2 linked regions of the Pelodiscus sinensis genome follow. The protein of the gene in region 2 purifies or fractionates together with the protein of the main gene of each other region. This does not show direct contact. Links are inferred from orthologs where the notes say so. Each region holds a gene or a part of one and is shown on either strand. Other genes may lie near its edges. The genes, in order: GNG2 and GNB5.

What was found.
Region 1: the proteins of GNB5 (region 2) and GNG2 purify together in Homo sapiens (affinity purification with western blotting; 4 studies listed by BioGRID and IntAct, with this or other methods). This does not show direct contact. The link is inferred for Pelodiscus sinensis from reciprocal best matches to the Homo sapiens genes GNB5 and GNG2.

What each region holds. Positions count from the first base shown.
Region 1 is NC_134714.1:7,146,863-7,162,843, reverse strand, and holds the start of GNG2 (guanine nucleotide-binding protein G(I)/G(S)/G(O) subunit gamma-2), read right to left. Parts: upstream 5,964-15,981; 5' UTR 5,809-5,963; intron 1-5,808. UniProt on the Homo sapiens protein: Guanine nucleotide-binding proteins (G proteins) are involved as a modulator or transducer in various transmembrane signaling systems.
Region 2 is NC_134724.1:25,287,548-25,302,782, reverse strand, and holds the start of GNB5 (guanine nucleotide-binding protein subunit beta-5), read left to right. Parts: upstream 1-7,305; 5' UTR 7,306-7,562; coding exon 7,563-7,674; intron 7,675-13,414; coding exon 13,415-13,551; intron 13,552-15,235. UniProt on the Homo sapiens protein: Enhances GTPase-activating protein (GAP) activity of regulator of G protein signaling (RGS) proteins, such as RGS7 and RGS9, hence involved in the termination of the signaling initiated by the G protein coupled receptors (GPCRs) by accelerating the GTP hydrolysis on the G-alpha subunits, thereby promoting their inactivation.

The sequences.
Region 1 (15,981 bases), on a different chromosome or scaffold from region 2:
GAATTCTGCTTACACATCCTGGTAAACCATCTTAATGGCCAAAGACCAAGCAGATAAAGGCACCGAGCTAGACCCTAAGCTAGGGGTGGGCAATAATTTTTGCAGAAGGGCCACAATGAATTTTGGTACGTGGTCATGGACTGGCTCTACCCGCCACATTCCAGAATGGGCGGGGCCTGGGATGGAAGGGGCGGGGCCAAGGGACTAATCTTCCCCCAGACTTGTCTGGGGCTGGAGGCTTTGAATTAATAACACAACAAAGGGCTCCCTGCCCCTGGCCCAGGACTATCTCATTGCCTGGAAGCCACCCAGGGTTACTGCGGCTATTTAAAGGGCTCGCAGCTCTGTCTCCTGCCAGGGTAGCACCACGCCTGTGAGCCATTTATATAGGATCCTGCTCTGAGCCTCCTCCTGGAAATTCGGTGACACCAGCTGCAGGATATAATGAGAAAACAGCCAGATGCCGTGTGCAGGCTGGATCAAAGCGTTAGGCGGGTAGGATCTGGCCCCTCATGTCCCATCTTGCCTGGGCTTGTCCAAAGCCTGCAAAGGGGGCTTGCGGAAACATGGGCTGCTCTTCACGAGGTCAGTCTCTCTTACTACGGGTTAGGCTACTCTAACCCGTCCCAGTGGGCAGGACCCAAGGAGCCATTACGACAACTAGCGATCACTGGAGGGAAGTGGAGGCCTGTCCGTTCCCCCTTTATTTTGGGACACATCCGAGGCTGGCCGCTGGGTGTGCACAGTCATCAGCATAAAAGTAGCTACAGTCATTCTAGACCCCAGGATTCCCCTCTAGGGGAGAGATTTGCCAGGTTTTGGCCACTGTGCGGCGATGAAGCTACGCACAGAGCATGGCTCGGGGTCACTTCAATCAGGTAGCATGGGCGTGTAAACGAGCGCAGAACCTGACTCGTCCTCCAGAAAACGGCGAGATTGTACGGGCGCCTTGCATCGTCACTCCCCCCCTCCCCACCCCTGACGCAGCGCTGTGCCACCAGGAAGTGCAGACACACTGAACAGCAGGGAGGAAACTAGGGTTAGAACTTTCCCTGAAAGCGGAATCCAATTTCGAGCCAACGCCTCCTCGTGCGGTCCAAGAAACGTCTGGCAAACCTGTCGGCGAAGGCACCCAGACGGACGCGCGGGGGCAGGCTGAGCCCAGCTGCGGCGAGCCGCACAGCTGGAATGGGCAGCCAAAGGAGCTCCCAAGGTTCCCGTCAACGCACGTCTCTGCAGACAGCCTCAGACAGAGCAGCACTTTACGTGCGACCCCGTCTGATCCGACCTGTATTTTACAGGCACTGTCTAGGTTTTCATTAACAAGCCCTGCCCTCCCCAGAGCTTCCAGCTGGCACGGGGAAGAGGCGCCCCGACTCGCTGAACGGGAGCCCACTAGGGCAACGTTTGCTCACGCCAAGATCTCAGGTGAGTTGATTCTGCATCTGGAGAGCCAGTCTCAATATGCTCTGAATAAATTGCCAGCCCCGGGGGGAGCAGAGGGTAAGCACAGTGCTGCTGAGATTCCCTAGAGGGACCAGTCCAGACACACACGCCTACTCCAGCTCGCCCGCATTCCAAGAGGAGTTCCCAAGTTGTGGGCAGCAAAATCCAAGACCTTTTTTTGCCCGATTCTGTATAGCTTACAGTTCCATGTTTTCTGGTGATAGTAGCTCTGTTCATCACTTCTTCTCAAGAGACCTTCTTATGCCAGTGTTTCTCGACCAGTGGGACGAGTACCCTCAGGGGTAATCGAGAGAAGTCGGGGTGGGGGGAGGGCATGTCAACAACTGAAATTTGGAGAAAACTGAATTTTTGTTTTAAGTTTTATTATTTTTGTACTTTTTACACCCAAAAATTTCATCGCCCACCCAGCTACAATTAAGTTGTTCCAACAAACGTGTTGCAATTGTAGAAAAAAAATTGTGTGTCTGAAAACTGTAGGTACTGGGGGTACTTTTTTGTTTTGAAAAAGGGGTACTTTATTATAAAAAAAAAGTTGAGAAACACTGACTTATACCATACCACCTTCTGTATGATTGTCATGTACAACTGAGGGTGCTACAGCACACCTACTGCCCCAAAGGAGGTAGGGGAACTCTTCTCAAACTGAAAGAGACATGGCCAAAAATATTTCTCCCCCTCCTGTGCACTGCCCGACGACACCTCCCCATCACGGACGGGGGCAAAGTTGCAGGAGAGTGGAAATGAAGCGCCCCATTGGCCAACATCAGCAGAAGCTACACACTGCAATTCCCACAGGTAAAGCAGCCTAAACGTTCAGCCACGGGAATAACTGGGATGGAAAAGCACCGCGGCACGAAGCGTGCTTTGGAGAGAAACAGCCCAGCAAGAAACTCACAGGGCCAGCCAAGTCCTTGCTGGATGCTGCTTAGAAACCTTCCTAATGCAGCATTTAAAAGCATTTAGCAGCCCCAGTTGAGAAAAGAGATCATTCCGCATCAAATTCAAATTCCTCACCAAGGCTCTGCACAGCCTAGCTTCTCCCTAGCTCTCCAGCCTTGTTTTGCACTATCCTGCACCCAGGCATTGATGTGCCACTTTGTATCCTCCTTCCAATCCTGCACTACATTCCCCAATGGCCCTGATACCCAGAATGCCCTCTCTAAATCAGGCCTGCTCTTTCTTCCGTCCTGCGACACAGCAGAAAAATGCATTTGTGCAAGGGTAAAAGATATATTAAAGAACCAACAGGACACGGGGGGAGGATGTTATGTGACCTGATCCCCCATTCCAGAAATACTCATTGGTTCCACACTTGTTTCTGATAGGCTCATGGTACAGTAACTAAATACTGCAATGAGCGGAAAAAGTATATTTAGTATGTAGACAGGACGCCTTATGTAGTCTGCAGTGTTGTGTGGCCATATCTGTCCCAGGAGATTAGCACAACAAGGTGAGAGAATCTCTCTTATTGGACCAACTTTTGTTGCTGAAAGAGAGAAGCTTTCGAGCCGACACAGAACTCTTTAAGTCCATCTTTTGAAAAAGGGGGAGTTGAAGTTGGAAACGTAACAAAAGAAAATAAAATAACTAACATTTTATCCCTTCTCAGTTACAGGGGGGTGGGGAGGGATCTCGTCCAAACAGTACCACGACGGGGGCATTTACAGAACTGTTCAGCAGGCTGGTGGTACTGATGTATGTCGATATTCATGGGGAACAATGGGGTAAGGAACGGACGGTACCCACTGCAACGCTGTGATGATAGCATTATTCAGTTCAGCAAAAGATTGGCGGTGTATTAGAAAAGGCCTATTATAATCCTTGTGAATGTGCTTCAACAGCACATGGGCCTGCATTCAGAGCACTGCCTTAAAATTAAACTGATCACGACTATCCGCGTGGCTCTTTGACACTATTAGAGACAGGCTTTTGCTCCAAATGCTTCTAACACGCCACATATTCCATGAGTGGAAGGCAATTCACACACACACACACACACTTCACCCGAGTGCTTTCTATGGGATAATTAATTGAGTTATATTTCATTTCATCCACTGGCCATATGGCAGAAAAGAGGATTAAAATTTCAGTCTCAAAATGTAGTCAGTGAAATCCAGTTAAATACAGTCAAACTATAAACAGAAGCCCCATTATTGCACTGCACACATGATGCTGCCAGTACACATAGCAACCTTTTTCCTTATACTGCACCAAAATACAGGTTCATCTTTTGGCCCAAGCTATCTGACAACTAAGAGGTTTGTTTACTGAGCAGAACTACAAGCTGTGGTTCTGTGTTGTCTTCGGGATAGCAGTGGGAGGGTCCTGACTGGGAGTTGGCCAGGAAAAAAACAAAACAAAATACAGCTTTATGCCGGTCTCTGGATCCTTCAATAAAATATGGGAACAATAAACTGAATTTTAAACAACTACAGACAATAGGTATCACAGTATGACAATTACTTTTGTCATGCATGTTAAGGATCATTACCTTTTAGTTTATCATTCTCTAACTTTAATCATACCTTGGGAGTAAAAGGAGGAAGAGATGGGGATTTTTGTTTACCTATAAATCCATTTTCAATCAATGTAGCTAAAAAGGCTCATGTTTCAAGGGATTTTGCTTCATCAATTTGACTCTTTGAAAAACAAATACAGAAAATTAAGTTTCCCCAAGTTCATTTTTTCCACCTGCATATCATTTATAATTTTGCATTTACTTCTAACAGCAATGTACAAAAAAATACTCCTTTGCCATGTTAGCCCTCATTAAATGGTTACAGATCACCAGTACTTCCTGTAAAATCCCGTTAAAAAAAATGTGTTTTGAAAAATAACAGTCTGAACTCACAGCTTTTATACAGATGCTCTTTTTTGCTTTGTCCAACTGCTACTACATGAGGAGGTGGAGAAAGGGTGTGGATAATACTTTGGTAGTCCATCTTTGGTATACAATGGTAACTTTAACTAAGGGGTCAAAAGATACTAAACCAAAGAGCTTGGGAATTAGACGTTTACGTACGACTGAAATTCTTGAGTTTGATTTTATGCTATTTTGGAGAGAACGTAAGACTGGCCATACTGAGTCAGACCAAAGGTCCATCTACTGAGTTATCCTGTTTCCCAACAGTGGCAAATGCCAGGTACTCTAAAGGGAATGAACAGAACAGGGAATCATCAAGAGATCTGTCCCATCACCCATTCCCAGCTTCTGACAAACAGCGGCTAGGGACACCGTTCCTACCCATCCTGGCTAATAGCCATTGATGGATGATAAATGCAATGATTAGGGGGTATGGAATGGCTAAGCAAATGCAATATGTATATGTATAGTTGGGATTATGTTTTCCAATATGCAATTACTTTACATTTACCAACATTACCTTGATAAATGTAATGATTAGGGATATGGAGCAGCTGCCATATGAGATGAATTAATAAGACTGGGACTTTTCAACTTGAAAAAAAGAGGACTAAGGGGCAATATGATAAAGGTCTATACAATCATGACTGGGGGGGGGCAGGATTAATTTCAGTTAAATGAAAATTCCATCCATTTCCAAAATAAATAAATAAAAGGAACACTAGACCTCATTCATGCAAGAAAAAGCTTTTCCTACCATGGCAAATGAGTTGATTCAGGGAGGATCAGCAATTCTAAATCAAACCTTTGTGGAGGAGAGGGCCCTCTTTGGAAAGATCCCATTTTACTGACAATCTTTAACCCCCCACCCCCACCCCCATCTATTTGTTTTCACAATCTGAATTCTCAAGACAATCCCTTCCCTGTATTCCGGGTTGTGAATGGCACTGGGAAGGGGAGCAGAAGACACATTAAAACGGACCCGCTCCCCTGCAAGTGCTCTAGGAAAGGAATTACGCGGACGCCTTTTGCATTCTGGCCACCTTTCTGCTCAGAGCCCACGGGCACTTCTCCTCGGGCTGCCCCACCTTTCCCCCGCCAGGCTGGGTGCCACCCGGGCCGCCTCGAGGGCGAGGAGGCACAACACGGAAATCCGTGCACCAGCGGAGCATTTGCACGGAGAGCCACGCGCGCCCCGCTTCCACCGAGTCCGTGCTCCGCCTTGGCTCGCAAACCACCGGCAACCCCCGGCCAGTCTGCCGGCTCCGTGGCCATCGCAGCCGGGCGGGCACGGCCAGCGACTCCTTCCCCGGCGGCCCCGACCCCAGCCCCGTGCAGCCCGGCTCTCACGCGCAGCGCTGGCCCCCGGGCACGCTGGTGAGCCGCGCTTGTGAACCCGCTTGTGAACCCGCTGGTGAGCGGCGCTTGCACGGAGCAGCCCGCCTGGGCGCGCCCGGGGCTCTGGCCGGGGCTGTTACCTGCTCGCTCGGGGCGCGGCGGGCTCAGCGGCAGCCCTGGGAGCGGCGTCCCCACCCCGCTTTGTCTGCGCTCATCCTCCGGGCACAGGAAGCGGCGCGGCTCCGACTTCCTCCGCCCCGGCTCCGCGCCGCTCGCCGGCCCGCCCCGCCCGCCCCCGGGCCCCCCCCACAGCCCCCCCGCCCCGCCCCCGGGCCCCCCGACAGCCCCCCCCACAGCCCCCGCCCCGCCCCCGGGCCCCCCCCACAGCCCCCCGCCCCGCCCTCGGGCCCCCCGACAGCCCCCCCGCCCCCGGGCCCCCCCCACAGCCCCCGCCCCGCCCGCCCCCGGGCCCCCCCCACAGCGCCCCCCGCCCCGCCCCCGGGCCCCCCCCACAGCCCCCGCCCCGCCCGCCCCCGGGCCCCCCCCACAGCGCCCCCCGCCCCGCCCCCGGGCCCCTCCCACAGCCCCCCCGCTCCCGGGCCCCCCCCACAGCGCCCCCCGCCCCGCCCCCGGGCCCCCCCCACAGTCCCCCCGCCCCGCCCGCCCCCGGCCCCCCCCCCACAGCGCCCGCCCCCGGGCCCTGACAGCGCCCCCCCCGCCCCGCCCGCGGGCCCCCCCCACAGCGCCCCCCCGCCCCGCCCGCGGGCCCCCCCCACAGCGCCCCCCCGCCCCGCCCCCGGGCCCCGACAGCGTCCCCCGCCCCGCCCGCCCCCGGGCCCCCCCCCACAGCGTCCCCCCCGCCCCGCCCCCGGGCCCTCCCCACAGCGCCCCCCCCGCCCCCGGGTCCCCACAGCGCCCCCCGCCCCCGGGCCCCTCCCACAGCCCCGCCCGCCCCGCCCCCGAGCCCCCACAGCGCCCCCCCCGCCCCCGCCCCCGCCCCCGTGCCCTGACAGCCCCGCCCGCGCGACCTGCCCCCAGCGCCAGGGTCTCGCCCGCCGCCCCACGGAGACCCCCCCCCACTGCTCCGTCTGCCCCACGGAGACCCCCCCCCCACTGCTCCGTCTGCCCCACGGAGACTCCCCACTGCCCCGTCTGCCCCACGGAGACCCCCCCACTGCCCCATCTGCCCTACGGAGGCCCCCCCACTGCCCCACAGAGACCCCCCCACTGCCCCATCTGCCCCACGGAGACCCCCCACTTCCCCATCCGCCCCACGGAGACCCCTTCAGAATCCCCACTGCCCCTCTGCCCCACGGAGACCCCTCACTGCCCTCCACCCCACAGAGACCCCCCGCTGCCTCATGGAGATCTCCCCACTGCCCCATCCGCCCCACGGAGACCCCCCACTGCCCTATGCCCCACAGATACCCTCCCCCACTGCCCCACGGATGTCCCTCCAGACCCCCCACTGCCCCGTCTGTCTCACGGAGACCCCCCCTTGTCCTTCCACCCCACGGAGACCCCTTACTTATGTCCCTTGCCCCAGAACCTCCACTACCCCCAAGCATGTCCTTCCAGAAACCACTGCCCCGTCCTCCCCACGGAGACCCCCCCACACACTGCCCCATGGATGTCCCTCCTGAATCCCCACTGCCCCTTCTGCCCTACAGAGACCCCCCACTACCCCACGACTGTCCCTCCAGAACCCCCACTGCCCTGTCCCCTCTACGGAGATCCCCCCCCCCGCTGCCCCATGGATGCCCCTCCAGAATCCCCACTGTCCCTTCTGCCCCACAGAGACCCCCTTTTATCCCTCCACCCCATGGAGACCCACCACTGATGTCCCTTGCCCCAGAACCCCCGCTGCCCCATGGATGTCCCTCCCCTACTGCCCCGTCCATCCCACGAAGACCCCCCACTGCCCCGTGGATTACCCCCCACTGTCCGCCCCATGGAGACCCCCCCCACTGCCTCATCTGCCCCATGGATACCCCGAACTGATGTCCCTTGCCCCAGAACCCCACGGATACCCTCCCCCACTGCCCCATGGATGTCCATCTGCCCCAGAACCCCCTCTGCCCCACGGATACCCTCTCCCACTGCTCCCTCCACCACAGAAACCTCCACACTGTCCCCTCCACCTCACAGATACCCCCCACTGTCCTCTCTGCCCCATGGATACTCCTCCACTGTCCCCTCTATCCCTCAGATGTCCCTTTGCCCCAGAAACCACCCACCCACAGCCCCACTCTGCCCCATTAATGTCTCCCCCTGCCCCAGAATCCCCCAATGCCTCCTTTGACCCACGGATACTCCCCACTGCCCCACATATGTCGCCTTGCTCCAGAACCCCCCCTCTGACCCACAGATGCCCCCTCAGAATCCTCCACAACCTCCCCATGGATGACTCCCCAGCTGAGCCTCCTCCCCCCATGTCTTCCCACCTCAGAACACTCCCATTACTCCCTTCTGCTCCCTGGCCTCAGCCTATGCCTCACACTGCACCCCTTTGGCTCTCCACATCCTCTACCCACTCTGCTACCGCCACCCTGCTGGCGATAGTCCTGCCCTCTCTGCTGTCCCCACCCCCTCTACACACACCGCTTCCCCCCTCCTGGTAGCCCCTGATGCCCTACCCACTCTGCTACCTCCTCGGTTCCCTGCACTGGTTCCCTACGGACACGCTGCCAGTCCTCTACCTGCTGCCACCCACGTCCCCAACTCGCCCCGCCCTACAGTCACCCTGCCTAACCATTCCCCACGTCCTTCACTCACCGCTGTCCCACATCTCCCCCCGTCCCTGCAATTTCTATCCATGCTTTGCTACCTCTAATCTACCAACCTACCCACGGCCTGTGGGAGCTGATCAAAGGCTTTTGCTTCCAGGCAAACATTTCCAAACCAAGCGGTAACTCCTCCGTGGTGAGGTAACTACAGGCCAGGCAGGTTTGTCCCCATCTCCTTCTCCCAGCAGAGCAGTTGCTGAGCTGGGAATAGAAGCCAAATCTCCCCAGTTCACTGCATCGCCTTGAGCACTAACATTTATGAAGGTGTCCACTTGAATACTGGGGTGGAGAAACATTTTAGGACTGGGGGGGAGGGGTTGCTGACTCACAGAAAAATCAGTTGGGGGGTGCCTACAAGTGAGAAGCAAAAAAACCAAAAACCAAAACCAACCCCCAAACCCACTGACTGAGATGGAGAAAAAAAGATGCTTCCTGCACTTTCCTTCCATACCGGAGCCTTGGGGGGGGGGGGGGAAGGCTAGTAGATTCTGTGTGCTTCAGCTACATGGGGGAACAGTGGGGGTGGGGGGGTGTAGAGTGCCAGCACTGGCTCCCTAATCCTGGCAGGGGAGGGGGGGACATACCCAAAGCCTCAGGGGCCAGATCCAAGCAAGTCGGGAGCCGCATCTGAGAATTTTTGTTGCTGGCTTTTTTTTCTTTTAAGATGGCTTCTTTTTTTTGCACCAAGTATTAGCACCTAAAAATACCCACAGACACAATTTAGCTCATTTAGCTGTCAGCACCTGATTACACCTACAAATCCACTATTTAAAAGTCTAAATAACCTAAATGGTACAGCAGGATAATTATTTGCACCTGCAAAATCACAGGCACAAAGCGAGTAAAATAATTCTACAGTTGTTCGCTGCAGAAAAGTATATCCAGTGGAAGGTGGAAGGAAAGGCCTTATATGCCCATGTACAATGGTTTGATTTTTTTCAGGAGTCTGGCAGTGCTAATCTGAGCCTCCAAATACCGGCTCGTCCAGGGACTGGGTGGGTCCAAGCATGGGTGGCCAGCCTGAGCTTCTGCAAGTTTTCAATGCGTTAGCTTGGGCTCTGCTAGTCTGAATGTCCTGGCTGGGCAGCTCGCCTCTAGCTGCAGTGGAGATGTGCCTTGTGGGCTGCGAAGCAAGAATCTCTGTGGAATAAGGTGGCATTTGACATGTTGCTGCTTTATAATCTCTCTCTCTGTGAGTCCAATTGGTCAAGAACCTCTCCTCAATGGTAAGAGCTAGCACCACCAAATTTGAAATGCAATGAGGCCAGAGTTTGGTTGTGGCAGGAAAATGGGACATGCCTGGAATTCGATTGTTTTCCCTATCATGGAAAGGAAGAGGGCTCATCGGAGGGACGTGAGACTGCACAGTCACCAATGGCAGCAGCGAGTGGGGCGGGGAGGGGGCAGACTTACTACTGGGGGACAGCCCCACCAGGAAGAGAAACCACTGGCCCAGGAAAGCGGCTCCGCTTCCCAAACGCTTTCCTCCTGGTCCTTGCCCATAACACCGCCCCGGGGAGGGGGAGGAGAAGTCTCCCCAGCCCTACCGCCATGCCACTTCCCGGAGCACCACTGGGGCTGGGCGATGCAGCCCCCCCGACTCCCCTACCGACGGGGCTGTGTGGTATGGCCATGCTGGAAGGCCTGTGCAGCCAAACTCCAGGCCCAGGCCTACAGATTGCCAGCAAGAGGCTTCCGTGGTCCCCCCAACCCCAGGCTGGCCCCCTCAGGCCATCCCTCCCCAGCCCCCGGGCCAGACCTGGGCAACACCTGGGAAATCTTTTAGTAATATACTATTTGAATGGGCTCACCGGCTTGGCTCAAAGGAGCTGCTTGTGTTTCTGAGAAGCAGAAAAAATTGTAAAGAGCAGGAATTATATGAGGATTTGCCATCTTCAACTGACGAGCCCCCAAGAGTGTGGGAGACCACAGGCCTTTTTGCCAGCACCAGAGCTCTTTGAGGAAGCGATTCCTTCTTTTATCTGAACAGAAAAATGGGTTAGACCAACTGTTCATCTAGCCTAATAGCCCATCTGCTGACCGTTGCCAATGCCAGACACCTGAGAGAGAATGAGCAGAACAGGGCAATTATTGAGTGATGCAGCCCCGGCTTCCGGTAGCCTGAGCATGGGGGTAGCTTCTCTGATTGTCTTGGCTAATAGACATTGCTGGACCTGAACTTAATTCTTTCTCGAACCCAGTTATACTTTTGGCCTTCACAAAGTCCCCTGGCAATGAGTTCCACAGGTTGGCAGTGTGTTGTGTGAAGCACTTGCTTTTGTCCGTTTTAAACCTGCTGCCTATTCATTTCATCTCCGTCCTGTTTGCTAAGCTGGACAGTCCCAGTCTTTTTCATCTCGCCTCGGACGGAAGCTGTTCCCTACCCGTAATCATGCAGGACTTCGTACAATGGAGTCCTGATCAGATGCTCCGGCCACGCCCGTCCATAATGACAGCCTGCACTTTACAAGCCGTGCACTTTATTAACAGAATGCAGGCGTAATGAAGTAATGGCAAGGCTTTGCTTTTTGGACAGAGCTTTTTCACTTAGGCAACTCAAAGCACTTCACAAGCTTAATGGTCCAAGGGTCATTAAGCAGCATGGAAGTGGATGAGTATTATCCACCCCCCTCTTACAGAGAGGGAGGATACGTAATGTCAGGGCTCAATTTGTAATGAAAGAGGTGCCGGGGCTCAAGGAATTTTTTTTTCACTTTCATAACTGACAGGGTGAACTCAGAGGTGCTGGCGTTGTGAACTGCCCCGCCTAGAGGTGCCAGGCCTGCCAATGGGGGGCAATTACCCTGGTGCCCGAGGATTCAAAGAGGCCCCAGGGGTCCCGGTGCTGCTATTGTAGCAGTGATGGCATGTGGAGCCTGGAGCCCAAGAAATCGCTGCTGGAGAGCTACATGGCATGCCAAGGGCTGGAGTGGGGTGCCGTGAGCCGGGTGGTACGGAGCCCTGGCAAGCCCTGGCACAAATTAAGCACTGAGTAGCATGCACAAAGGAACAGAAGGAGAAGAGACAATAAATGGAACCCAGATGGACTCCCTCTCCATCTTGTTAACCACAAGACTTCCCTTCCCCCTGCTACGATTTCTGGAAATTCGTATATGCCAGCAAACAGACCTCCTGTAGCAGCCCAGAACCAAGGAGCAGTGTGTTTGGGGGCTGATTTTTCAGTTGGTTAAATAGAAAAGATTTTTCTCCCCTTAATGCTCGCAGGACCGTATGTGGAACTTGTGTAAATCAGGGTAGTGCCGTTGAAGTCCATGGCACTAGGACAACGTACAGCAGCCAGGCAGATTGCTTTTGTAGTCTAGATCTGCTGCCCACTGGTGCTACGACTTTTGCACTCTATGGCTTTGCCTGAGCCTGAAAGGGAAACCTTTTCAATTCCGTGCCAAACATTGTGACAGTGTATTCGCATGGGCCTGGGAGTGCATTGTGGGTTTAGGACACTGCTTCTCAAATTTGTTGGCCCACGGCCCACCCCGCTCAACGCAGACCACCCAGCCAACCCCTCGTGATGACAGACTGGGTGCAGGAGGAGGGGTGGAGGGTCTGGGAGGGAGGGGGTTAGGGAGCACTGACCTGGCTCTGTGCCTCCTACCCAGACCCACCCACCCCGCTGCTCCCATTGGCCATGATTCTGGCCAATGGGAGCAGCAGGCGAGTGGTTTCCTGTGGTGCTGTTGCCCTAACTGGGGGTGGGGGAGGGACAGCACATAGTGTTGCTTCCTTCTTCTGCAAGCCGGATCCAGGCCGCAAGGCTCACCACCCTCTCCCCCGGAGCAGGAAGCCGACGTTGGCACTTCAACCTCATGAGGGCCAGGGGGGCCTGGGGCTGGAGCATCAGCACAGGCTTTCTGCCCGGGGTGGGGGAGAGAAGCCCTGAGCCCATGGCCCACCTGCAAGATGGTCGCAGCCCACGAGTGGTGCACAGGCCACGCTGAGAACCGCTGGCTTAGGAGAAGCGCCTTTAACTCTGCAGAAACACATGCTACAATCAGCTTGTCTCGCCAGGGCATTTCGCAAGAACTTGCAACTCCCCGCCCTGTGTGCTTCTTGCATTTGTCTAGAATTTCTGCACGTTTCCTGGAAAGGAGGCAATGGACGGTGATAACATGGGTTTCCCCTCTGGTTACCATGGCAACCCTGAATGACTGATTTCCTATGTTGCCATGCAAATGCAATGGATGAGGTCAGCTTTTGTGCAACACAAAGCCGGCAGTAATTAAAAAAAAAATCACGAACAAAAAGCCCCCACAAAAACTCTCCAAACCCCTGTTATCAAACCTATTTTCCCTCATTCGCAAGAAGGAAAAACACATTTTCATTGTCAATCTCTCTCTGTCCAAGTAAGGAGGCGGGGTCCTTTTTGGGGATGATGAGGAGCCTGGATAGGCGAGGCAGGGGGAAATATCTTTGCTAGGCATATTGGACGGATGACAGGACAATTGCACAGATGCCTTTTTGTTTTGGGGGACTGATTCCACCAGACTGGAAGCCTTGGACACCCACCTTATTCATAGCCAGCATGTTTCTTGTGGTTTTTTCCTTTCATCCGATTGTGCATTACAGTTGAAAGGGTTCACAAGTTTTAGCTGATAGTCATTGCAGATGCACATAGCTCATCTGTGTCATAGACCCTCTATTGCCAGCAGCTAATGGCGACTCTCCATTAGCTCAGGAGGGAAGGGCTTGCACTTCTGAAGCAGGAGGACAAGCCCTTATATACTATCCCCAGTATTGCTGCAGGACCCAGTACCAACTGAGAAGAGGCTGACTTTAGACTTGTTGCATTTCATAGAATCATCGAATACTAGAACTGGAAGAGGTAATCAAGTCCTGTCCCCTGTCCTCATGGCAGGACCAAGTACTGGCTAGACCAGTGGTCCCTAACCTTTTGGGGCTGCCAGGCACCCGGGGGCGGGGCCACCCATATGCTGCGTGCCCAGTGCTGGTGCCACCCATGCACTGCACTCCCAGGGCCAGCACCGCTCCTGTGCCGCACGCCCAGGAGCTGGTATCACCCACGCGCTGCGCGCCTGGGGCCGGCGCTGCTCCTGCCTGTGTGCCCAGGGGCAGGGACGCCCATGCGCCGCGCACCCAGGGCCAGCGCCACGCCTGTGCCGCACCCCTGGGGCCTGTGCTGCTCCTGTGCTGCATGCCCAGGGACAAGGATGCACATACGCCACGTGCCCAGAGCTGGCACAGCATATGTACCGCGTGCCTGGGGGCGGGGCCGGGGCCAGCACAGCCCTTGCGCCATGCACCCGGGGGCGGGGCCACCCATACGTTGCGCACCCAGGGGCCGGCACTGCCCATTCACCACGTGCCCTGGGGGTGGGGCTGGCCCTGATCACTCGGCGGGCGCACAGAAATGGCCTGGCGGGCACCATGGCGCCAGCAGGCACCGCGTTGGGGATCATTGGGCTAGACCATCCCTGACAGACATTTATCTAACTGACTCTTAAATATCTCCAGAAATGGAGATTCCACAACCTCCCTGGGCAATTTATTCCAATGTTTAACTACCCTGACAGTGAGGAACTTTTTCCTAATGTCCAACCTAAACTTCCCTTGCTGCAGTTTAAGCCCATTGCTTCTTGTTCTATCCTCAGAGGCCAAGATGAACAAGTTTTCTCCCTCCTCCTTATGACGCCCTTTTAGATACCTGAAAACTGCTATCATGTCCCCCCTCAGTCTTCTCTTTTCTAAACTAAACAAACCCAATTCTTTCACCTTCCTTCATAGGTCATGTTCTCTAGACCTTTGATGATTCTCGTTGCTCTTCTCTGGACCCTCTCCAATTTCTCCACATCTTTCTTGAAATGTGGTGCCGAGAACTGGACACAGTATTCCAACTGAGGCCTAACCAGCGCAGAGTAGAGCAGAAGAATGACTTCTTGTGTCTTGATCACAACACACCTGTTAATGCATGTTTGCTTTTTTTGCAGCAGCATCACACTGTTGACTCATATTTAGCTTGTGGTCCACTATGACCCCTAGATCCCTTTCTGCCGTACTCCTTCCTAGACAGTCACTTCCCATTCTGTATGGGTGTGTCTAGACTACATGGCTCTGTTGACGGAGCCATGTAAACTAGCTTACCCAGCATAGGCAAAGAAGTGGGGATTTAAAAAATCCCCGCTTCATTAAAATAAACATGGCCGCCGCAGTGCCGACGATCAGCTGATCCAGCACAGCACGGCAGTCTAGACACGGATCTGTCGGCTGGGGAAGCCTTTGCCGACCGATCCCTTATCCCTCGTGAAACGAGGTTTACAGAATCGGTCGGCAAAGGCTTCTCCAGCTGACAGATCCGCCTCTAGACTGCTGTGCTGTGCCGGATCAGCTGATTGTCGGCACAGCGCAGCAGCTATGTTTATTTTAATGAAGCGGGGATTATTTAAATCCCGCTTCATTGACTATGCTGAGTAAACTAGTTTATATGGCTCCGTCGACGGAGCCATGTAGTCTAGACATACCCACTATGTGAAACTGATTGTTCCTTCCTAAGTGGAGGGGTCCTTAATGGCCCTAGTGCAGGGGTGGGCAAGATACAGCCCGTGGGCTGTTTGATCTGGCCTGCAGCCACCTTGCTAATTGAGACTTGGCAGCGGGGGAGTGTGCAAAGTCATTCACTTTTCAAAACAGCTGGCGGCTCCCTCCCTCTCCAGGGGCGTGCGGTGCCTAGAGGGAACCGTCCCTTTCTGCCTGAGGCCCCGCCCCCTTCTGCCAGAGGCCCCGCCCGACCCATCACCACAACCAACATTTGTGAAGTAGCCCCGCCCCCCGCCACCCCTGCCTTAGTCTGACTGCCGTAACCACCCATCAGGATGTCATAGGTTGGGTCCGTATAACTGCAGATGTATGACTTTAATAAATGTCTCCCGTGAGAACCCAACTCCACAGCCTCCAAGCATGCCAATAATTGAACCAAAGCCAACGCAGGGGCCGCACCTCCTCTGCCCGTCAGGAGAGCTGCTTTGAAATCAAACTCGACATTGTAAAATGATCTAAACCTGGGTTTCTTCCCGCCCTCCTCCAGTGTTCCTTTGTGGCTCTCCAGCCACCTGTATAAAAAATAAAGACGCAGCAGGAAAGAGGAACACGTCACTAAAGTCCTACACGGACCAATGTCCTTTAACGCAGCACTCCGCTTTCAACTCTCGCCGGGGGCGTCCCAGAATTTGGAGGCGCTGCTGCCGTGGCTCAAGCTCTGCCCTTAGCTCACTACTGCTGCCCCGTGGCCCCCTCTGTGGCTGATGGCCACTGACTGCCACTTCTGCCCTGCCACGCTCTGAGGTTCCACCAGTGAGCCCAGGTCCTAATGACTCCACTGGGGAGTGGGGGACTGCGGCTGATGCTGCCTCTTCGTTTGCCTGTCGCCACCCCAGGCCTACGGCTGCACCCCTCACCCTGATCATGAGCGGTTTCAGCCTAAGCGAGCATGACTCAGAAACAAGGACGTGCAGCAGGTTTTGTCCCAGGAGGACATGGGGCCTAGGGCCTTGGCTA
Region 2 (15,235 bases):
CAACTCTTTTTCGGAAAAAGGTATGCAAAATGCACTCCGCAATTTGCGTACCTTTTTCCGCTTTTTTTTATTTGAGAGGATTTTCTGAAATTTGGCCCATCTACAGTGGCCCAAATTTCAGAAAAAAACCCTCTTTTGGAAGATCCCTTCTTCCTCATGGAACAAAGAAGACAGGACTTCCAAAGGAGCGCCTCTGCTCTTCCGCAAAAAAAAAAAGCGGAAGAGCAAACATGTTCCCTGGACGTGGCAGAATTTTTTTGCGATACCTCCCCAGGGATATCCCAGCCCCAATGAAGTCAATGGCAAAACTCTGATGGACTACAGTGGGGCTAGGTTTTCACCCACTGGGTATTAACATCTCACTCCTTAGGTAGACCCACTGAAATAAATGGATCTGCTTCAGGAGGAAAGTGTGTCTCAATCTGAGCATGTGTGGCAAGATCAAGCCCTAAATATAAGAGAGAGGGATTTTAAATGCAAAATGAAACAACTAGCAAAACATAAGTTCACTTTCTTGGTCATATTTCTTTCTGGCCCTTGTAAAATACAGATTGAACCTCTCTAGTCTGGCACTCTTGGGACCTGACTGGTGCCAACCCAGAGCATTTGCTGAACTATGTGAGGTCAATATTGTCTTGCAGCATTACCAATGCTTCCACTGCTTAGTGGGCTCTTAGAAGATATTTAGGGGTAAATTAGAGCTAAATAACAGCACAGAACACTGGTGACTGTAAAGAAATTTTATGGGAAACTTGACCACACCCATGATAAGTGGACATCTGACTAACTAAAATCATGATAATCCATTAATGTTGCCAGACCAGAGAGTCCTGGACTAGAGAGGTTCAATCTAGCTTTAAAAAATAATCAACACTAATCTCATTGTGTCACATCTGTGTAACATTTTTTATTAGTTCACAATACTGAATCAGGGCTCTTTTTTTTTTTTTTTTTTTTAACTTGCCTAACATTTTCCTTGTCCCTTATTTTGCATAAGAATGTGCTAGGTATATCTCATTTTCCTTCCTTGAAAGCTGTAATTTTTTACTTGTTGAAAATGGGGAAAGGTCTTTAAACTTCAGTAACAGCAGTGACTCTGGCTCATGAACAAAAAATAGATTCAATATTTTCCAGCATCCTGAAATGCCAATTTCTGTGTAAACCATCTTGCTATTAATGGGGTTTTTTATAGCTACCGAGTGCATTCTGAACCTTCCCTTCAGTTTTTAAAATGGTTATGAACAGGACAGACAGCTTAAAATATATGGTGGAAAAACAATTTTTGTAAATGCGGAGTCCTTCTGAAGCTTAATCCGTTGTTACGTGTCATTTGATTATGATGGTTCTGTTGCCATTATCTAAGCCAAAACCCAGAATAAGACATTGCAATAGAAAAACATTCCATGCACTATGACAGAAGGATGCTCCTGTCTGTTTCCTCATAAATATATCACCCACAGGGCATGTGCAAGTGATGATTTATCAAGCTTTTGAGATAAGCTGCTGAGAGCTTATCCAGCCTACAGCTGTCTATATATTGTCTAAGATCCATTAGCTACTGAGAGAGTACAGGAAAGGTTTGTCATCTCACTGTCATGCACTCCCCCTTTCTCCTCTGTCTCTTTCAGGTCTCTCCCTCAGCAAAGATGTGTGACCAGACCTTTTTGGCAATTGTGTTTGGTCCTTGTGACAAGTGCTCTAAAGAGAAACCCCTCAGAACAATTTACATCAAATCAGAACAACTCAACTACTGTGCACTATGTGTGGAAATGGTATGTTACAGCCTTTGCCAGAATGAATGCAAAAGTAAATAATGTGACAAGGAGGGGTCAGATGAATTTGCAGAATTCAGTTAGATATTACTTGGATATGAAACTGAAACCACATAGGGTCCCTGCTCTACTCCAAATAAAAGCCCTAGATGGAGAGTACCCAATGACACTCTGAAGGGTAGAGACAAAGTCAACTTTTTGCTCCCTATTTGGAAAGTGGCTAGCTGCTTTTTCCCATATATGGTAAAAGATCACACACGCGATCTGTGCAAGTAAAAGTGCCTGACTAAATTCAGCCCTGGCATAATCATACACAGCTCCACTGAATGGATTACATGGGAATTACACCAGACCTCTATTTTGCCCATTAGCTTTAAAAAAAATAAACTCTGGATGAAACCCCATGAGGTTCTTGTAAAAAGCAGTTTCATAAGAGACCAGTAAATACAACTTTCTTAAATTATCACAATGAACCTGAATGTGATCCACAACCTGCCTGAACTTCTACATGATCCATAACCGATTAGCCATACTACTTTGCACAATGATCATTTCATTTCTCACAAGTTAGCCCGGTGCAAATGAGTTTCGTACTTGGATAGAGTATTCAAAGAAAGGGTATTGGAGAACTTATAGCCATGGGAATTAATTGTGAATTAAGGAGCACTGTGTAGTCAGAAGGCCCTGTCTTCTGCATAAATTTCAAAAGTGAGACCGTGAACATAGGAGCCCATTTACATCCCTATTCTTACCAAAAGGGTACTGTCACCATGGTGTCCTAGCCAAGTTCCACGGCAGATAATTCTGTTCTGCCTATCTGAATTCCCCATGTAGTATTAATTGGAGAAATTATTCTTCTTTGCTTGCTACCCTGTACTTGTGTAGTAGTGTTGAGCAATGTCATTTCAGTGGTGGGTACAAAGAACCTTGCAAGAATGCTGTGAGGCTTACTTAGCTATGTTTACAAAGCCTAGTCAGAGCTTTGGATCAGAATGAGACTGCTGAACCAGTAACTGAGTAAGATGCAGTGAACACAGCTTATCAGCTGAAACTTAGCACATTCTAATACACTAAAACTGGTGAAATAAGTGCATGTAGATATAATGGCTACAATGCAAACAACCTCTTCTCCTCCTCTCCATTTGCTTCTCTTGACTTTGAATATGCCACTTTATCTCAGTTGTACCTGGCCAACACTGTATAAATACCAGTTTACGCAGCAGATTTTTCTGACAACTTGATAGACTGCTGAAACTGCACCAGGAGACTGTTTTCCATATTAAGACTCTTGCAAATTTCTCTCTGCTGCTTATACCAGGGAAGGCAGTATCTTACTGTTTGGAGTTAGGCCATAATAGAGGTTATTAACTGGAAGCAAACTGATGCTTCAGTCAGCATTGCCTCAGCACATTGAATCTTCATAACACAGGGTATGTTAGGCCCCCTATTAAAATTGGAGAAAGATAATTGGTAACAGCAGCAGGACTTGCTGCATCTTGCTTATGCATATTTATTTTGCAATATAGGTTTTAATATCAATATTTATCATATATATAGCTCTGCATCTTCTAACTTCTGTATAAGCAATAAGTAATGAGCTAGGGAAAAGTGTAGGTTCATGGACAGGGAACATTAGTTAAAAAGAGATGAGGGGGCTGTTTTTTAAAAATGCCTGCTTTTTTGTACATGGAAAATATGCACAAACATTTAATTGTGCAATGCTACTTTGCAATGTATTAAGACTGCATAAAATCAGGAATTTGTGTGCATAACTGGCTAGTTTCATGTCAGTGGTCAATTCCATATGCAATTATCAGGTTTCAATATACAAAACAGTTAATTATACATACAAATACAAGACCCAATTGTTCCCATGGGATTTTAAAAATCCCATTCTATATGATTCTTCCAAAGCCATGCCATCAGTGGCAGATGCAGGATTACAGAATTTAGGAATTCCTGGTTTCCAACCATGTGTTCGGTTCATTAGGCCGATTGGCTTTTATGCTAGCTCACCCTTTATTTCTCAGGTCTTTCTTTACCCATCTAGTTTTGAAATGTATGGTAAGCACAAGATACCCCAAAGGGGTTGTGCATCATGTTTTTGCTTTTTTCATTCTTTTAGGATTATTCTATATCCAATCATTCATATTATTTATCATGACATAACTATTCAAAGTGAGCCACTGGCCAAACTGTTCCATGATGGAAGTACAAGTCCTGGTTCCATTGCTGAGTTTTGCATGTAAGGCAGAGATTCTGCCATGCTTACATATGAAGAATACAATGTATCCTCCCCCTAATTATAGCATTTTTCCTTTAAGTAGAGGATGAGTTTTCTGAGTATTTACAAGTAGAGCATTTTAATTTTATTTAAAATGTGCCCTTAAAGGTACTTAGCACCTGTCAGACCATTTCTTCCTACTGTCTCCCAAATGATTTTAACACAGACTTATCAGCCTCTCCATACTGTGCAGACTCATTAAGCATTTGCCGTAGTCGAAGACCTTTTTTTAGGCTTAATGATCCCCTCCCCAATATTCTTCATAACAGATTGTTCATTTTTCAGTAGAGTTGGATTAGCAGCAGGTTTTACAGAGAATTCCACACACATCACTGCCTTCTTTCACACTTCCTGCCATCGCCCATTGTTCTCCATTGGAATGGGGCCTACCTAGCTTCCATGATGGCAGCTTGGCTTCACCCTCATTGGGAACAACAGGAGGGAGCGTCCATTTTGCAGATGATATCTTTGTATCTACATTTCCACTGAGAACAATAGAAAATGGCAGCTGGGTGATGAACTCAGAGATGGAACTCTCTGTAAAGAACTCCATTTGTTAGCCTTCAAGTTCAATAACCTGCCTTCGGCAGCAGCTGGTTAGTTAATGCTTCTGAGGAGAGCAAATCAAACCCTTCTCCCCACAACAGACTTGATCAACTGTGTAATATTGAACATGAGCTTACAGACTGGCTTTGGTATTACTGCCTTTGTCTGTAAAGCTATCCAGGTCCCTTTTAAACTCTATTTGACTCTAGAAACTCTCACAACAGATGACCATGTGATTTGAAATCAATTTGAAAGGATTCTGAATTTGGATTTCAACACAAAGACATTGTGGCACTTTAACTGTTGCCCTTCCTATTTCAGACTAAACACTCCCACAGCAGAATGAATTCTGCAAACATAGGCTAATGACTTGCTTAATATTCATTATGGTAATGAATAATTAATTGCTAATGTATTATTTGTTAATGTTAAAAACACATTGACTCTAGCAGAGATGGGTCTATGGGAGGGAGAAACAAACTGCCAATTTAGACATTATTAACTAAAGTCTCATTTAGTAAATAATGTGGCTTTTTTGAAAAACTTTGACTCAACTGTATGTTCTCCTCTATATTTGTCAACCAAATCTGGTTTATTTTATGGCAAGCTGCAGAACAGCTCTTCTCTAACCTGTTTTTTTAGCCTCGCTAGTTGACAGCCCAACTTTTAATATCCCAGGGTTTGCTTGGGTCAGTTAAATTTTTCTCCTGGTTTCAGACTCACAAAAGATATGTTCCATTGTACTTAGTACTAGCCTGAGCTGTAGTTGATACAGTTCTACTTCCTACCCACCAGACAGAACTTGCTTTTCCCACTGGATGAGAGGTGAGCAATCCGTTAAGATGCAGCATGCTTCCACCTACATCTCAGGTCCAAAGAGTTCTGCCCATTCCCACCCACTAGTTCATTTTGAGGAGTACCACACTTACACCCCTTTTTCACCTTCCCACATTGGGACCCAATATTCTCTGCAACTTTCACTCACAGGAGTAATCCAAATGTAATCAATCTGGAATCTGCTATAAGCACTTTGAGACTGAACTGAATTGATGCTGTGAGACTTTGGCATCCGATGACTTTGATGCCCTCAGTGCTGATTTTCAGCTTCTCCCAGGAGAGACTCAGCTCTTTACAGGACATGAGTTTTAATTCCTGTACACAGGAGATCTACTTAGTCAGATAAGTAAGGCAGCATGGTGAAGCACTGATTTGGCATTTCTATGCCCACCATCTCAAATGCAAGCAATATCTCAGCTGCACTCCAGATTCTATTTTGTCCCCATAGAAGTCAGTAACAAAACTTCCATTCACTTCAGTGTGGCCAGGATTCTTTGGCCTTCAAAAGCTGGGCATCTGACATAGGGCAAATTCCTTTATTAAATGGAATTGATTCTCCAAACTCCTCTCCCAACCCACCCATTGCCTCACCAAGTCAAAAACAGTCACAGTCTTTAATTTCATATAAGCAGATTTAATTCTTCAGATACCAAAACAGCACAGGTTAGAACCTTCTTGTCACTTTCTTGCTTATTAGCAATAATGCATTTGTTCCTCTGACATCACTTTAAGAGTACTGCATTATCCAGTGAGTAGATACCAGTTAGGAAGTGGGTGAGTGCTGGAAACTATTTCCAAAATACCATTTATCCTGGGGAGAACAGAGTGCTGCATCCCCAGTCAGCATCTGTGCTAACTCTTGACGGCAGTTACACCTTGAGCATAGGGATGTAGAAGAGAAACTGCATGAGACAGAACCCAACTGTGTACTGCTGTTAAACACAATGAGACAGGGGCTTTATTTTCTCCTGGGGCCTCATACTTCATCCAGGATGTGCGCACAGACTAAAAAGCAGCTGTGCTTACTTCACATCTCACATTTCAATCCTGGACCTTCTCCAGATTGAACAATAGTCACTTAGTTTGTCCATTTTCTGCCTGAGAGACAATGGGAGTCAATATTAGATCAAGGCCAATTAACAAAAGCAGAAGAGGCTATTTTCAGGAAGCTCCTTTGCAGAAAGACTACAAAGCCCATTTACAGCTGTCCTCTGCAAAACAAACATAAATCAGTTACAGCCTCAATACATCAGAAGCATTTTCTCACACACATGCATAGGCCACAATTAAAGATGGTGCTGGGCAAAATAGTCACAATTACATCAAAATCAGGGATTTATTTGTTTTGTTTTGATTTTGCAAAACACCCATTTTATGGGGGGAGAGAATAATAAACACGTTTATTTTTGTGGCATGTAATAATCCTGATTGTTTTCAACCAAAGCATTTGACAAAGAAGGGGTAAGTATCAGGAGCGCCATTCCACCGAGACACAGAGAAGGGGATGGAGATTTCTCTCTGCTGCCTAAGAGATCTGGATTTCAGGGGGCCAAATCACCAATTCAGTTTTAAACATCTCAGCCCCGCTGTCCAAAGGTCGAGGGTTGGGGGGCTGGAGACCTTGCCAGGCCTGGTACCTTGATCTCTGGTCCTGTTTTTGAAGACAACCCTGTGAATTTTTAAAATCTCACTTGTGCCAGGTTCACGAGTTTCAGCAAACCCCACAAAAGCCTCTTGGCACCAGCCTGGGTGGGATGAAATCCCGGGGCTGAGAAACAGCCTGGCATGGAAACGCTCCTGGGGGAAGTGTCGGAGAGCCCCAGGGCTGGGCAGGGGCTTGAGCAGCAGCCAGCCCGGAGCCGAGGCACCTGCCTTTAGCCCAGGTGGTGCCAGCCCGTCGCTCCCTGCACGGCGCCCGGCGGGGGGGGGGGGGGGGGCGAGCAGGTGCTGAGGGCTGCACCCAGCAGCACGAGCCTGGCCGCGAACGTCAGCGCGCGGAGGGGAGGGGAGCCCCGCGCGGTTCCCAGGCTCGGGCGGCGGGAGCTGCGGCAGCATCCCTGCGAGCCGGGCCCGCCAACCCCTCCTCTCCCTGCCTCTCCCCGCCCGCCGCCTGCCGCGCCAAGATGGCAACCGAGGGGCTGCACGAGAGCGAGACCCTGGCGACGCTGAAGAGCGAGGCGGAGAGCCTGAAGGGCCGCCTGGAGGAGGAGCGGGCCAAGCTGCACGATGTGGAGCGTGAGTCGGGGGCAGCGGGAGGGCTGGGGCGCGGCCGGGCCGAGCGGAGCTGGTGCCTGGCCCGGGCCGGTGGCGGACCCCGGGCGCGTGGCCCTGCGGGGGGAGAGGGAGCGTGTCCTTTGCACCCCGTTCCCCGGCCCGGGTGGGGGGTGGCGCTGAGCCGTGCCCGGGCTGGCGGGGGAGGGGAGGAAGAGGCATTGCTATTGCTGCAGCTGCTCATTGGCTGCTGCTGTGATTCAGTAGCATCCCTGCGGGCGGCAGCAGCGGCCGGGGTGAAATCCCGGCCTTGGAGTCAGGGGGAGGTTTCCCTGCGCCTGCCTCTTGTCCAGTATTTCATCCCTGCGCGTGGCTCCCAAAATCCCAACCTGCTGTGCCCGGGTACCGCTCTAGGACTTCCCAGCCCTTCTGGGGGCCAGATAGCTAGCGAGTCCACTCCAAGCCAGCACTCCTACCAGGCTCCCTGGGCACTAGGCAAGACAGACACACATAGTCCTGCACAATGTGACACCCTTCGACTCTGCTTAACACAGAATAATGTTCAAAAGCTTCACGGAGTAGCCGAGTTAGTCTGTACAGGATAAACTTAAACAACAACAAATAATCTGGTAGCACCGTAAAGACTAACAAAATATGTAGAATCTGTAGATGATATCATGAGCTTTCATGAGCTGTGCCATCTGCATGTTTTGTTAGTCTTTAAGGTGCTACCAGACTATTTGTTGTTTTTTAAGTTTTTACAGAATAATGTGACCTTGTTGGCCTGAAATCCCAGAGATACGACACCTTATTTTTATTACCACTCATTCATTTAAAAAATGTTACACGTATAAATCGTCACATTTTTCTTGAAGTATACGGTTGATGTTACTAGTGGGGTTTTTGGTGGGCTTATTACAACTTTGTTCCTCCTGTTTCTGAAAAAGGGATACAGAACTGTATCTGCTGATTTATGTGATCACTATTTGTTACTCTCTGTAAATTTCAGATTTTTTAAAAAAATACACTTGTTTCTTTTCTGTCACACATGAGGCATTTTCTTGCCTAAATGTGATTATCATAGGTTTTGTCAGTATCCTATTAATAGGAATCATTGAACAGAGATGGCCTCCTCACAGAAACATTGCCATAATCAGTAGTCTTGCAGTATAATTGCTACAAGATAAGCAATAAGGCCTCAGTTCAGCAGACCACTTGAGCATATGCTTAAAACTGTCTCTATTTAATTATATATATGCTATTTCTTAACTTTAATTGTGCATACTCTAATTGTAAGTCTCATGATGTTTGTGGAACACTCTTTTCATGTTTACTTCATAGATCTGTAAATTAATGGGGTTTTTAGAACTTTTTTTTATGAAGGCTGTGTATGTTACCCAAGGTTTGATTTTCTTGACAAAGTCTGTGACTATTAGCATTTTTTCCCTTCATAGGAGGGTTTATTTTGGGTCTTTTTTCCCCTCCCCGGTGTGTTCACTCCTGAGCAAAACTCCTGTTTTTTTGTTTTTGTTTTTACATAGATTTGGGTCTATGTTGATGGCTCGTGGTCTTCCTGTGCTTTTAAACTATTTCCAACAGCTATCTCTATTGGGAAAATAAATAACTTCCCTTTTTATCTCTTAAAATTATGACTAACACTTTTGGTAATGACAAAACCATGATCCTTCCCCCCCCCCCCCCATTTTCCTCCAAAAGAAACTGCCTGCCTTAATAGCTTTTCTCTTCTTTGTTCAATTTTATTTTGAATTGTAGCTCTTTGAAAAATGTGAACAGACATCTGAAGCCTTTTTATTTGACTTGCAATCAGGAAAACTCTCAGGGTTAATTACAGTATTGAAAAGTTTGGATTAGAAATATGAACAATTATATTGTCTATGTGATTTATAGATTTTAGTGCCAGCAGGCACTTTTATAATCATCTAATCTGACATGACCTCTTTCCTCCCTCACATTACCTGCATAACAGAGGCAGAACCCAATAATTTCTGCATCAAGCCTCATAACTTCTGTTTAACTATAGCATACTTTATAGAAGGATATCCAGAGTAACTTGCAATATTCTGTGCTCAATCCTTCATCTTTATTTGCACAAACTACCTTTTGTGACTAGTCCTGGTTAGTGCATTAGAGCTATTCACCCGAGTCAGAGCTGCAAGGTCACACTCATAGTTTGCAATAGTGTCTTTAAAACTATTATAAATATTTTTAAAATTTGTATATGTCTGTGAAGTCTTTTTAGGGCTGCTATGAGTTTGCTTTGGTTTCAGAGTGTAGGATCAAACTTCTAAGAGAGTTATTTGTACTAAAGTAGGCAGTTCTGCAGACTCAGTGTTGCATTAACAGAAAGGAAACGTATGGCTAATGGCAGTAAGATGTGTTTTATTTGTTAAGCCCTGGACACTGGCATTTGAACCTAGCCTTGCAGCTCCCATAACAACCTCCAGCACTTGTATTCTGATTATAGTATTGCAGGATCTCAATAGAGCGTTTGATTGGCTTCACTTGATAATGGTGTGCAGGAGAGGATGTAATTTTTCAATAGGTTTAGCTGATGCTTTTTGGAAAGGCTGGTTTGCTTCTGACCCCTCACAAAGATCAATCTGTAATGGACGAATTGTCAGGAATAATGGGCAGCAATTTAGTTTCCTTGCTATGTGAGATTTAAGTCCCTTGTAAGGCTATGTTTGTAGCTAAGAGCATTATTTTCAGCCCCTGACCCAGTCTGCAAGGCTGATGATTATTGAAAAGCAGATCCATAAGAAATCAATATCAGATGTAGGCAGAAATTGCTCAGCTGACTGTGAGCCAAAGAGCCATCTTTGTAGAGTAAGGGTGCCCGTCCTACTGCTGTGACAGCCCTTCCCAGCTCATATGCTTTCTCACTGCTGCTTAAACAAAGGGCAAAGATTTTAGCTGTGAGTTTTCTGAAGTAATTCTAATTTAGGGCTTGATTCTAAAAGGTACTGAGTTACCCGCAGCTTTCATCAATGGCAATTACATCTACCCAGAGCATTCACTCATCACCAATGGGATTGACCCAGCACTCAAGCTCCAAGTCACTTGAGCTAAAAAAATCTAAAGTCCAGATACAATTGTGTTGTTATCAATGGGAGTCTTCCCACTGATTCTAGTATGAGTGCAGTAGAAACATCTGATTGACTGATATAGGCAACCCACTAGCAAGTGACATGTGGCATCCATTGAATCACACCAGCGTGTCTCTGGATCAGGTCCTCTTTAATCTCTGGGGCTATGTCTACACTGCAGGCTTCTTGCACAAGAACTTTTTGCAGAAGATCTTCTGCAAAAAGTTCTTGCACAAGAGCCCGTCCACACTGCCATGTGTTTTTGCGCAAGAGAGTGTCCGCACTGCTATGGACACTCTTGCACAAGAACGCTCTGATGGTCATTCACAGACTGGCCATCAGAGCACCTGTGCTTTATCCGATAGGGGTTTCTAGCGCAAGAAACCCTTGTTGTCCATCAGCATGTGCCTTTTTGCACAAGAGCTCTTGCACAAACAGGCTTATTCCTCATAGAAAGAGGAATAACTCTTCTGACAATCTACTGTACTTTTTTCTTGTGTAAAAACGCACTTGTAGTGTGGACGCTCTGTGAGTTTTAGATGTAGCCTCTGCAGTGTAGATGTAGCCTGAATCTGGCTATAAGGCTGATTTAGAGCACACAGACTCCTATAACTCCTAGTCTAGCCTATAGCTTAGTGGTCTCCAACCTTTGTAAGCATGAGATCGCTTTTTGAATTTCAGTACAATCCAAGATCTACCTTAGACCCAAACATGCTTGCCCCGGCTTCTTCCTACCCTTCTCCAAGGCCCTGGCCCTGCTCACTCCATCCTTCCTCCCTCCCTCCCCCATCCTCACTCACTTTTATCAGGCTGGGGGCAGAGGGCTGAGGATCTGGGGAGGGGATGCAGATGCTGATCTTGGGCTAAAGGTTTTGGAATGTGGGAAGGGTTCTGAGCTGAGGTAGTTGAGTAGCAGGGGGGTTCAAGGTGCTGGCTCTGGGAGGGAGTTTGGGTGTAGGGGGACTCAGGGCTAGGGCAGAGGTTTGGGGTGGAGGAGGGGTTCAGGACTGGACCTGGGATTTGGAATGTGGGCTCCAGCTGGGCACCGCTTACCATGGGTGGCTTCTGGGTGGTGGTACTGGGGACTAAGGCAGGCTCACACCTACTCCCAAAAGCAGCCAGCAAACTCTCTCCATACCTGCCCCTTCCCGCTTTGTGGAGATGGGGTACAGGATGGGGGAAGGGCAGGGGCACCTCAAGGCAGAGGGCAGAAGCAGCATGGCAGTGCTGAGAGGGGCAGATGAAGTGTCTGCACTTGACAGCCTCCCGGCCAAACCTGTCAGAATCACCTGTCAGAGGCTCCAAGATCTACCAGTAGATCCCGATCTACTGGTTGGTGACCACTGCTGTAGCTCACGTAGCAGCCCCATTCCCTCCAGGCTCCTTGCAAAATGTTTTAATGCTGGTAAAGCCACTAGATCCTCATAAATGCAGATACAATGTCCCCCTCTTACTGTGGTTTTCTAGGGCCAGCCCAGATTCCTTTTGCTCCTGTATGAAAGAAGCAATTTTGTATGTCTTTACTGAGCTCTTGCTAGAATGAACATCACAGAAACAAATTAGACTTCTCAACTAATGCCCCCCGCTGCCATTCATCGGGGACAGTTACAACATGAGGTTTTAGGGGTGCAAAATGGCTTTGCACAGTGCCATGAGTGGGGTGGATTTCACAGTGAGGTGCCTTTGCATATGCATTGTTACAGCCACGTCCTGTTGGAAATCTGAACTTATTTATAGAAACCCCAGCTGGAAAGAAATAACTTAAAACGTGAGAACTCAAGCTGGAAGATTTTACTTCAGATTCTCCAGAATGAATAGAAACTGATCCATAAAGCCATGTATTTTTAGAAATAAACCCTTGCTATTCTCCAGACACAAGTGAAGTGAAAAGGCTTTGTTGTTTGTTACATTGAGGCAGGTTAATGTCATAAGATATGACGCTATTAAAAAAACTGCTCAGCCACTCAGCTTATGCAAGGGCACGTATGGCAGCTGGCACACACGCTGCCTGTGGCTGCCAGTGTGAATTCCGAGTGCAGATCAAACCTGTGATGGAAGTCCAGTACTTATATCACCTTTAGGTCAGAGCTGCCGCATTAAAATGTCCTCTCATTGCTAGGGCTGAAGTTATTTTTAAAAAGAAGCATTTTATAACATTGAAAGGACTTTAGAACCACAACAATCATTTGAGACAAAACACTGTATTAAAAAGTAAGAGCTGCAAAATTTTATGATTGCATATAGTATTTCAGTTAAAAAAATTATCAACAAATGTAAAAAGTCCTAAATAATGTAAATGAATTTTTGGTACATAAACACATTCACAACCTTCCTCTCCCCCCAGTGAACAAAACCTGGTATGCCAGATGGTTTGATTAGATGACATTCTCTAAGGAGTCTTCTGTTTTTAATAGCAATGCTTCTGTGAAGAATACTATACTATACACGTGGTTAGATATGCTTCAAGTGATCCTTTAGCGTCTGATCTTGCAAACACTCACATGACTAACAACTCACCTGTATAGACTCATTGTGCTTCTTGGAATGACTCACATGAGCAAAAGTCACTCCTGAGTTACAGTATCAGTGTTTGGAGGACCAGGGTTTTAATACAGAGCAAACATTTGGTGAGTCTCTTTATGGCTAATTCTCCACAGTTCATCAGGTGGCCGAACGTGTGGAAGCACTAGGTCAATTCGTGATGAAGACCAGGAGAACTCTGAAAGGCCATGGCAATAAAGTCCTCTGCATGGACTGGTGCAAAGATAAAAGACGAATTGTGAGCTCTTCCCAGGTGAGTTATTTGAAGTCCATGATAGCCAGGCACAATTCTTATAGCTACACTAGGTAACATAAATTGGAAATAATACCTATGGTTAGTCTAAAAGCTTTTATGATGCCTAAAGCATTCTTTTAGTAACATTTGTTCAGAAATCATAAACCAGACTACTGAATAAAGAATATAATTCTGGTAAGCATTAACACACCTATTGAAGGTGATACTTTAAAGACCCTTCTTCCATTTTTCATGCAGAATTTTTCCAGTGTCCACAGTCATTTAGCACACAATATTACAATGAGCTGGTTTGAGATCAGATGCCTCTTATTTTTTATGGACACTCAATATGCAGCACACTCTCATTTGGAAAGAAAGAATTGGAATGAGGAAATCTGAAAACATTTTGATTCTACTAGAGAGGTCTCAATGTGATCTGTGAACATGAAATCCTTTTTGTGGTCTGGAAGATTGATGGGACCTTAAAGAAACACTCAGCCAGCTAGAACTACTACAAATATTTGGACATTTTGAGAAACAGTTTGCAAGTCTGTTCAAGATCAGTCTTATGTTCAGGGGGATGGGAGACGTATTGAGATAAATGCCTGTCACTGGTTCACATTCTGAATGGTAATGGCTGAAACTTGTTACATCTGACAGCTGTTTTCTGGCCTTTCTGAAATGAGTTGCTGTCTCAATCTAGTGCCTACAGGATAGAATAGGATATCTGCATCACAAAACCACCATGAGAATTACTGCTGTCTGACACCATTCTTGGATGTCTCAGCCAGGAGACCAAAGATTGAACAGTTAGTAATCTATTTTTTTTTGAAGTGGTGAAGTCTCTGTGTGTAGGTCTGAAAGCAAAAAAGAGAGGCTTATTCCACTTTAAAAATGTATCCTGAAAAAATGTTTCTGTGAACCTGCTTGGGGTTTTAGGTACTGTATTAGCATTACAGGAAAGTGAAGTTTGTTTTCTGTTTGATGACACTTGCATAATTTCACTTTGCATTTTTTAAACTTCTATTTTAAGAATTTAATGAGTCCAGGGAAATAAAAATAGCTGGTTGCAAACAAAATTCACTTTTTCCCAGTCTGGAATGTTAAAGGATATTATGCCAGTCCACAAGATAAGATGATTATGTAGCATGCTATTGATTGCATGTTCATTCTTATTGTTAGGTTACTTGGGTAATTAAAGGTTAATTAAGAGTAGCAGTAGAGAAAAAGAAGGGAGTAGAGGAAGGATGGAATGGGGAAAAGCAGATAAACAGAGTGATGCGAGGAGCAGATGTAACTGCTCATTTGTAGAAGAAAAGAATGAATACAAATTTATTCAGATGGTTGTTTCTTGAGAAGATCAAGATCCCCATGGTAAGTCTGAGGACAGCTCCTTTAAGGCTACATCTATCCTGTGAGCTGAGAGTCCCTCGCTGACCACAGGCTCCATCCTGCGCTGCCACTTTAAAATGCCATGCGGAGCCCAGGGTCAGCTGGAGTATTCCCAGCTGACCCTGAGCTCCGCACAGCTGCTGCTTTGAAACACCGAGGTGGCGTTTCAAAGGGACAGTACCGCACAGCTGATCCCATACAGAGCTCTGTGTAGCACTGCCCCTTTGAAACGCCGAGGTGTTTCAAAGGGACAGCGCCGCAAGGGGCTGACCCCAGGCTCCATGCAGTGCTGCTTTGAAATGTATCAAAG